Caenorhabditis elegans: one gene and its partner. The protein of the gene in region 1 interacts with the protein of each later gene in a pairwise test. Each region holds a gene or a part of one and is shown on either strand. Other genes may lie near its edges.

Region 1 (3,923 bases):
ATTTGGTCAAAATATTTGTACATAACCATGTAAATGACCTATTAAAACATCTCCATTCCAGTAATTCAAAAAAAAATCCAAAAAAATTTAGAAACATAATACAGGAAATAGAAGGAGTTCAAAAAGATTTTCTGAACTTTTCAGAAAGTAGGCTAAAATACGGAATTGGATCATTAGAAGAAAAGACAAAAAGTTTGAAAGGAAACTAATTGGTGGAGAAATTAATATTAATCAAAAACATTTTTTCAAATTCACAACTTCTGATCGCACTAGTAACCGGCTCACTTATAGATGGAAAACCTCTAGATCTAAACTTCGATCCCAATTGTTCACTCATCATGTGTTGAGTTTAATTTTAAGCCCAAATGAAATCAATTACCCTAGTTAGTTACAATTCTCATGCAAAGATTTTATTAACAAATTTCACTTCTTTATGTAGTTTATCAGTAGATACACATGTGTTTCGCGGTTTTTTAAATATTTATGGAATGTAGTTGAGGCATCAGCAATATGATGAAGCAAATATTTTGCACTAAAAGTCGCAATTAGCAATATATTGCTAGAATGTTGGTGGTCCCGCAGCGAGATTAGCGATTTGCAAATTGCATCTAAAATACTGGTGGCCATAAGTATTTTATAACGGCGAATCACCTGTGTCATAGCCTTTCTAAATTATTTGCACTTTCATCATAATTTTTTTTCTTGCGATTCTCTCCATTTTCCGTTCAATGAACGATTTAATACGCATGTTCAATAATAATAAAATTTATCCGAGAGGAGTACAGAAGAAAATTAACATCGCTGCGAGACCAATCGCTACAGTACTCAATGTCGATTTACGGAGGAAACATGTTTTGATTTCTCATTGTTTCTTTTGTCATTTTTTGTCATTTTAGTTTTAAAACTTAATTATCCTCTAATGATTTGCGCGGTTTTTTATTAAATTTTTGATTATTCTCGTAGCTTTTGAGTTAAACTAATTAAAAGTCTTCAGCTATGCTAAATTTTGCTTCCTTTTCTTGAATGAAAACCTAAAATGAACAAAATTTTTTGTCATTAAATAACAACGCTTCGGTTAACGCTTGAAATTGATATTCGGAAAATAAAAAGCCTGATTTTTGTTCGATTTCTGAAATATATTTCATGCTTTACCCGTTTTTAATTGCGAACAATTCTAAATTTGAAATATAATTTTCAATCAACGAAAAACAATTTTCAAGATAAAAAATTATTATATAAATTTAAGCTAAGTATTAATAAATTAATAAGTAATAGTATTCAAAAATCATAGAATCTTGCAAGAAAAAATGTTTTAAAGATTTAATAGTTCGAGTGATTGAAAAACGAATAGTACTTTAAAAAATAATGCTTTAAGGCAGAAAAGTGATATAAAAATTAAGCTCAAAAGGGCAAAAGATAAGGTTAATGTCCAGTTTTGGTTTTAAAATGGTTCGGACACAATGTACATAGTAGACATTTGGGTGTCCTCTTCCTTCTCTTTTCCCCATTGCGTCCACTGACCCTCCTTGCTGTATGTCTGCGCATCGTCTTTTTCTACACTTTTTCCTTTTCCCTGGCCCGTTCCTATCGGTGCCTTTCACACACGCGAGCGGCAGTGGACGAGACGGGAGGGCGAGGTGTTGAACAAGAGTACAGCAAGTGCGCGCCATCGAAAAAGCGGAAAAAAAAATTTCAAATGGCGCTACTTTGAAAATTGAGAATTCTGTATTTACTGCCAGTTTTACTTGCATTTAAATTTCCATGTTTTCTATTCTAAAACGAAAATCTATCTAAGAAAACCCTTAATAAAAACCTATAAATCATAAATTGTGATTCTTAAATTCGAAAATATGTTCGTTCAACTTGACGCCTAGAAATATGTGGACTTAATCCTGTTATAAATCAGTAGTTGACGACAAAAATAGTAGAGCAGCAAAAGCAGTTCTAACTTGTGAAAAACATGAAAGTTCTTGTTTTCGTCAAGCGAACGGGGGCTCGAGGAAGGACTTGGCACGTGTCTCTAGGCCATGTTTTTCTCAATTTTTGTTGCTCTAGAGAAAGCTTTTGCTATTGATTATGGGACAATCTTGGGGATATGAAGGTAACATTTTAAAAATAAGTTTAGGTAAATGTGTAGCATAATTTTTGAAAAAAAAAGCTCCACTGTTAAAAATGCCGATTTTAGGGATTGCGAAACGTTCACTATGTACACATAAATGGCTATATAATTTGAATTTGCATTCAATAAATCTTTTCCTTCCAATTGTATGTTTTAACTTAAAAATAATTAATTAAAATTATCTCAGGAGTCAAAAATGTCAGCTCAAGCAAGTCGTCAAAAGAAATCGGATCAAGAGCAGCGTGCAGCTGATCAAGCTTTGCTCAATGCAGCAATCGAGGATAATGCGATGGAGCAAGATGAAAACTTCACAGTTATCGATAAACTTGAGTCTTCAGGAATCAGTTCTGGCGATATTTCAAAACTAAAAGAAGCTGGATACTATACATACGAATCGCTGGCATTTACTACAAGACGCGAACTCCGAAATGTCAAAGGAATTAGTGATCAGAAAGCTGAAAAGATAATGGTGAGCATATCAAAAAATCAGCTTATTCGAGAATTAAAGAAAAAAACTAAAAATTCTGTGGCTTTATTTTTCAAAATCCAATTAATTGAATTGAAAGTATCAGAAAAGTTGATACATTTTTCGAGGTTAGCTCCGAAAAAGAATGAAACGATCAGCTGCAAGGTCAGTTTTGACGGCAAATCGACCAGCTGTGAACATGTAGACATCGGCCTCATATTTCAATGATTTAATTTCAGAAAGAAGCCATGAAATTCGTGCAGATGGGATTCACGACGGGAGCCGAGGTTCATGTGAAGCGAAGCCAGCTGGTGCAGATCAGAACTGGATCTGCTTCACTTGACAGACTGTTGGGTGGCGGTATCGAAACAGGCAGTATCACTGAGGTGAGTTTATCACGGATAAACTGACAACAGTACTCAATAAAACATTTATTTCAGGTTTACGGAGAATATAGAACAGGAAAAACTCAGCTTTGCCACAGTCTGGCAGTCTTGTGTCAATTGCCGATTGATATGGGAGGTGGTGAGGGAAAATGTATGTATATTGATACCAATGCCACTTTTCGACCCGAACGAATTATTGCTATCGCTCAGAGGTTTGTGATTGAGAATTATTCTTAAAAATCCTGAATTTGTCATAATTTGATCTCCCGACTTGAAAATTTAAAAAAAAATTAAAATTTATTTCGAGAAATCAGTAACATATTTTCTCAGTCTGAAAATAGCTGTTATTTTTGCTTGAACAATTGAAAAGGCCAAAAATGGTCTGCAAGTTGGAAATTGCCGTAAATGAACTTTCAGAGATGTTCCGGGTCTTTTTTTGGCGAATTTCAACTTGCAGGCAATTTTTTAGCCTTTTCCTTATTGTTTCAACAAATATAAGTTTTTTTTTTCAGATAAAGTAAATATTTCTCTATATTCTATCACTAAGTTTGAAATAAAAACGTTTGGAGAACAAGTCGCAATGGCTCATTTTGTACAATTACTGGTTTACGCCACATGGCTTGAATTTTGGCATTTGAGAATTTACCTTATTATGGATCTTGTAGCATTTTTTTGAATATCGAAGTAATTTCTTGCAGATACAATATGGACAGTGCTCATGTACTCGAGAATATCGCTGTTGCACGTGCATACAACTCAGAACATTTGATGGCTTTGATTATTCGAGCAGGTAAATCTAAATTTCAAAAAATAAAAAAATAAACTTTTTCGTGCCATAGGAGCAATGATGTCCGAGAGTCGTTATGCTGTTGTGATTGTTGACTGTGCAACTGCTCATTTCCGTAACGAATACACTGGAAGAGGAGATCTAGCGGAACGTCAGATGAAGCTC
Region 2 (3,923 bases), 6.7 Mb from region 1:
TGATTTTTTCAAGTGAAAAATAATTTTTTGCCAATTTTTCCGGTAAAAAAATCGATTTTTTCACACTTTTTGGGTACAAAATGTCTATTTTTCACATTTTTCAACTAAAAATTGTTTTTTTTAATGTTTTCGGGGTAAAACTTCAAATTTTTACATTTTTTGAGGTTTAAAACAATTTTTTTTCGAATTTTCCGGTAAAAAAATCGAATTTTTCACATTTTTTAGGATAAAAAATAGTTTTTTTGCCAATTTTTCGGTAAAAATTCAAAATTTTCCCATTTTTTGAGATGAAAAATCAAATTTTCGCCAATTTTCTAGTAAAAAATTCAAAGTTTTCATAGTTTTAGGGGCAAAAATGCCTATTTTTCACATTTTTCAACTAAAAAATCGATTTTTTCTCCAATTTTCACGAAGCCAGGCACCAACCTGCAAATGACGTCACGCTCATCTTCCGACTTCAGGAGACACGAATCTGTGAAACACACGAGAAGACCGTCTCCTTCCCAAATTTTGTGTTTTCGAGTCGAAGCTTTTCCATAGAGAACGACAAAACGGGCGATTTCGGCGCTCGGGGTGTCTGGAATTTTGGGAATTTTCGAAAAATAAAATTTTCGACCACAAAAGAGGCGGAGCATAAATATTTCGTTCAGCTCCGCCCATTTTTTGGGTCTTGCGACGAAAATGTGTCCCGTAATCTTAAAGCCTTACGCATTTTCGTCGCAAGACCCAAAAGTGGGCGGGGCAAACCTAGCCACGCCCATTTCTTGGTAGATTCCGATCTGCCGAATTTTTGTCCATTTTTGAAAAAATATGAAAAAGATGGGCTCCGAGATATATTTTCTCTGTGAGACCCGAAAAATGGGCGGTAGATTCCGATCTGCCGAATTTTTGTCCATTTTTGAAAAAAATTGAAAAAAATGGATTTTTGGTAGATCGCGGGCGGCCCTTTTTTGGGCGGGGCTTAAATTCCAGGAAGATTTTTTTTCGAAAAACACGATCTGCGGTCACAATTTCGTCGCGAGACCCGAAAAGTGGGCGGGGCGTAATACGCCACGCCCCTAAATTGCGCGGGGCTTAACAAGGCACGCCCACTCCTTGGTAGACCATGGGCGGCCCATTTTGTGGGCGGGGCTTAACTTTCTGAATTGTTTTCCCGAAAAATATTCGGGGATCACGATCTTCGCAGCGAAAGTGGGCGAGACATAATAAGCCACGCCCGTTCCTGGTAGATCATGGACCGACCAATTTGTGGGCGGGGCGTCAATTTCTGGAAGATTTTATTTTGAAGAACACGATCTACGGGCATAAATTCGTTGCGAGTCCCGGGAAAGTGGGTGGGACGTAATACACCACGCCCCTTAAATGGGCGGAGCATGTCTGAACACGCTCATTTCTTGGTAGATCACGGACCGACCATTTTGTGGGCGGAGCGTCAATTTCGGGATTTTTTCCGAAAAATATTCGGATATCACGATTTTTGCAGCGAAAGTGGGAGGAGCTTAGTAGGGCACGCCCATTTCTTGGTAGATCGTGAACCTGCCATTTTGTGGGCGGGGCTTCAATTTCTGGAAGATTTTTTTTTTGGAAGAACACGATCTACGGAAACAAATTCGTTGCGAGCCCCGGGAAAATGGGCGTGGCATTGCTCCGCCCATTTATTGGCTTTTTGTAGAAATTGTACATAGATTCGATTCCCGGCGATATGCGTTCCCTAAAAAATTGTCCGGCTAAGCTCCGCCCCTTTAATGGTGGATTTCAGATTCCAACCATTTTTGGTCGTTTTTTTTTCGAATTTTTCAGCCAAAAATGCCAATTTTTCAGAAATTTTCAGCCTATAGGCGTAGGCGCCTACCATTTCCCTCATAACTATCCACGTTGAGAACCACTCGGGACATCTGAAATATTAAATTTAAATTTTTGGCCTAAAAATCTGAAAATCTGGCAGCAAAAAATATTTCGTCCTAAAGAAAATCAACTATAAAATTGGCCAAAAAATCGATTTTTTAAATATATTTTTCTCCATAAAAAACGATAAAATCACAGATAATGGCAGCGAATATATTTGGAGAAAATTGGAGGTCGCCGCGGCCGAGAAAAACCTCGGTCATGGAGCAAAAATTGGGGAGAAAAGCAGTGATTTTAGTGTTTTTTTTCGGGGGGGGGGGGGGAACTCGGGAAAAACAGTGGGGAAATAAGTGAAAATTGGGCACCTAGGGGGGGGGGGGGGGGGGAAATTTTGGAAATTTATTTTTTTGGGGAGCATTTTGAGCATTTTTTTCGAGTATTTTCTGTGAATTAAAGAGAGGGAAAATAGGAATAAGCATGGCACACACAATGTTAAAATTTAAGGGATTGAAAATTTTTTGAAAAAAAAATTTTTTTTTTTTTGAATTAAAAAAAAATTTAAAACAGAAAAAATTGCAGATAAAAAGTGAAAAAAATACTGTTAATATTTGGCAAGACGCGAATTTTTTATTCCAAATTCTTCAGATAATGTGTTTTACGGCTTGCAATTCTGGCTTAGCCACGTCAGGCCTTCGTGTAGGCCGTCTCCGGTTGAAGCACATGATGGTTGGACGTACCTGCAAAGAAATTAATTGGAAATTATGGGTGAAAATCCGTGGATTTTTAGGTGAAAAATGAAGGTTTTTGATTGAAAATCTGAAAAAAATCAATTTTTTCGGTGAAAAATTGGCCTAAAACCGACAATTTTCGAGTTTGGAGCGTTTTTTTTTAAGGAAAAATGGGTTTTTTTAGTGGAAAAATTGCTGAAAATCCGGAATTTTAGGTGAAAATCGGTTTAAAATCGACATTTTTCGAATTTTGAGCGTTTTCAGGTGGAAAATATGGGTTTTTTAGTGCAAAAACTGATGAAAATGCCGTAAAATCCGGAATTTTAGGTGCACAATCGGTGTAAAAACGGAAATTTTCGAATTTCAAGCACTTTTTGATGAGAAAATTGGATTTTCCGTGAAAAACGGATGAAAATAGCTGAAAATCTGCAAAAATTCGATTTTTTTTGGGAAAATTGGCCAAAAACCGACAATTTTCGAGTTTGGAACATTTTTTTTAAAGGAAAAATGGGTTTTTAGTGAAAAATTGTTGAAAAACTGCTTTTTTTTTGTAGAAAATCGGTTAAAAAAAGGAACTTTTTTTGAATTTTGAGCGTTTTCAGGTGGAAAATATGAGTTTTTGAGTAAAAATTGGCTTAAAATAGCTGAAAATCTGGAATTTTTGGTCGAAAATCGGAGAATTTTCGAATTTCAAGCACTTTGTAATGGAAAAATGGTTTTTTTTTTGTGAAAAAACGGGAAAAGCCGGCAAAACGAGTTTTGGGCGTTTTTTAAGGGAAAAATTGAATTTTTAATGAAAAAAAAATGTTGAAAATATGAATTTTTGTTAGAAAATCGGTTAAAAACGGAAAATTTTCGATTTTCAAGCACTTTGATGAAAAAATTGAATTTTTACTGAAAAAATGCTGAAAAACTGCATTTTTTGATGGAAAATGGCTCTAAAACGATAAATTTTCTAATTTTGAGCGTTGTCAGGTGGAAAATTGGATTTTTAGTGCGAAAACTGATGAAAATGCCTTAAAATCTGAATTATTTGGTGAAAAAACCGAAAAAAAGGCGAATTTTTAGAGTTTTCCGTTAAAAAAAAAGAAGAAAAATTTCGTTTCTGGAGGTTTTTTAGAAGAAACTGAGGGAATTTTAAGCGAAAATCGCTATTTTATGCTTTTTCTCCGAGAAAATTTAAAAAAATTGTATTTTTTGCATAAAAACGAGATTTTTAGTGAGAAATAATCGGAAAAATTTGATTTTTACACCAAAATCTGCATTTTCTACCCATTTTCCGAGAGAAAATGGGTGTTTTTTGATGTATTTTTGCAGAAAAATCAGTTTTTCCTCGAGTTTTTGATGTTT

What was found.
Region 2: the proteins of rad-51 (region 1) and rad-54.B interact in a two-hybrid assay, tested with the Caenorhabditis elegans proteins (2 studies listed by BioGRID).

What each region holds. Positions count from the first base shown.
Region 1 is NC_003282.8:10,282,398-10,286,320, reverse strand, and holds the start of rad-51 (DNA repair protein RAD51 homolog), read left to right. Parts: upstream 1-2,076; coding exon 2,077-2,101; intron 2,102-2,185; coding exon 2,186-2,265; intron 2,266-2,306; coding exon 2,307-2,588; intron 2,589-2,824; coding exon 2,825-2,971; intron 2,972-3,025; coding exon 3,026-3,183; intron 3,184-3,669; coding exon 3,670-3,761; intron 3,762-3,810; coding exon 3,811-3,923.
Region 2 is NC_003282.8:16,948,039-16,951,961, reverse strand, and holds the start of rad-54.B (DNA repair and recombination protein RAD54-like), read right to left. Parts: upstream 1,896-3,923; coding exon 1,853-1,895; intron 578-1,852; coding exon 427-577; intron 1-426. Other genes in the region: arf-6 (ADP-ribosylation factor 6), read right to left, coding at 2,501-2,582.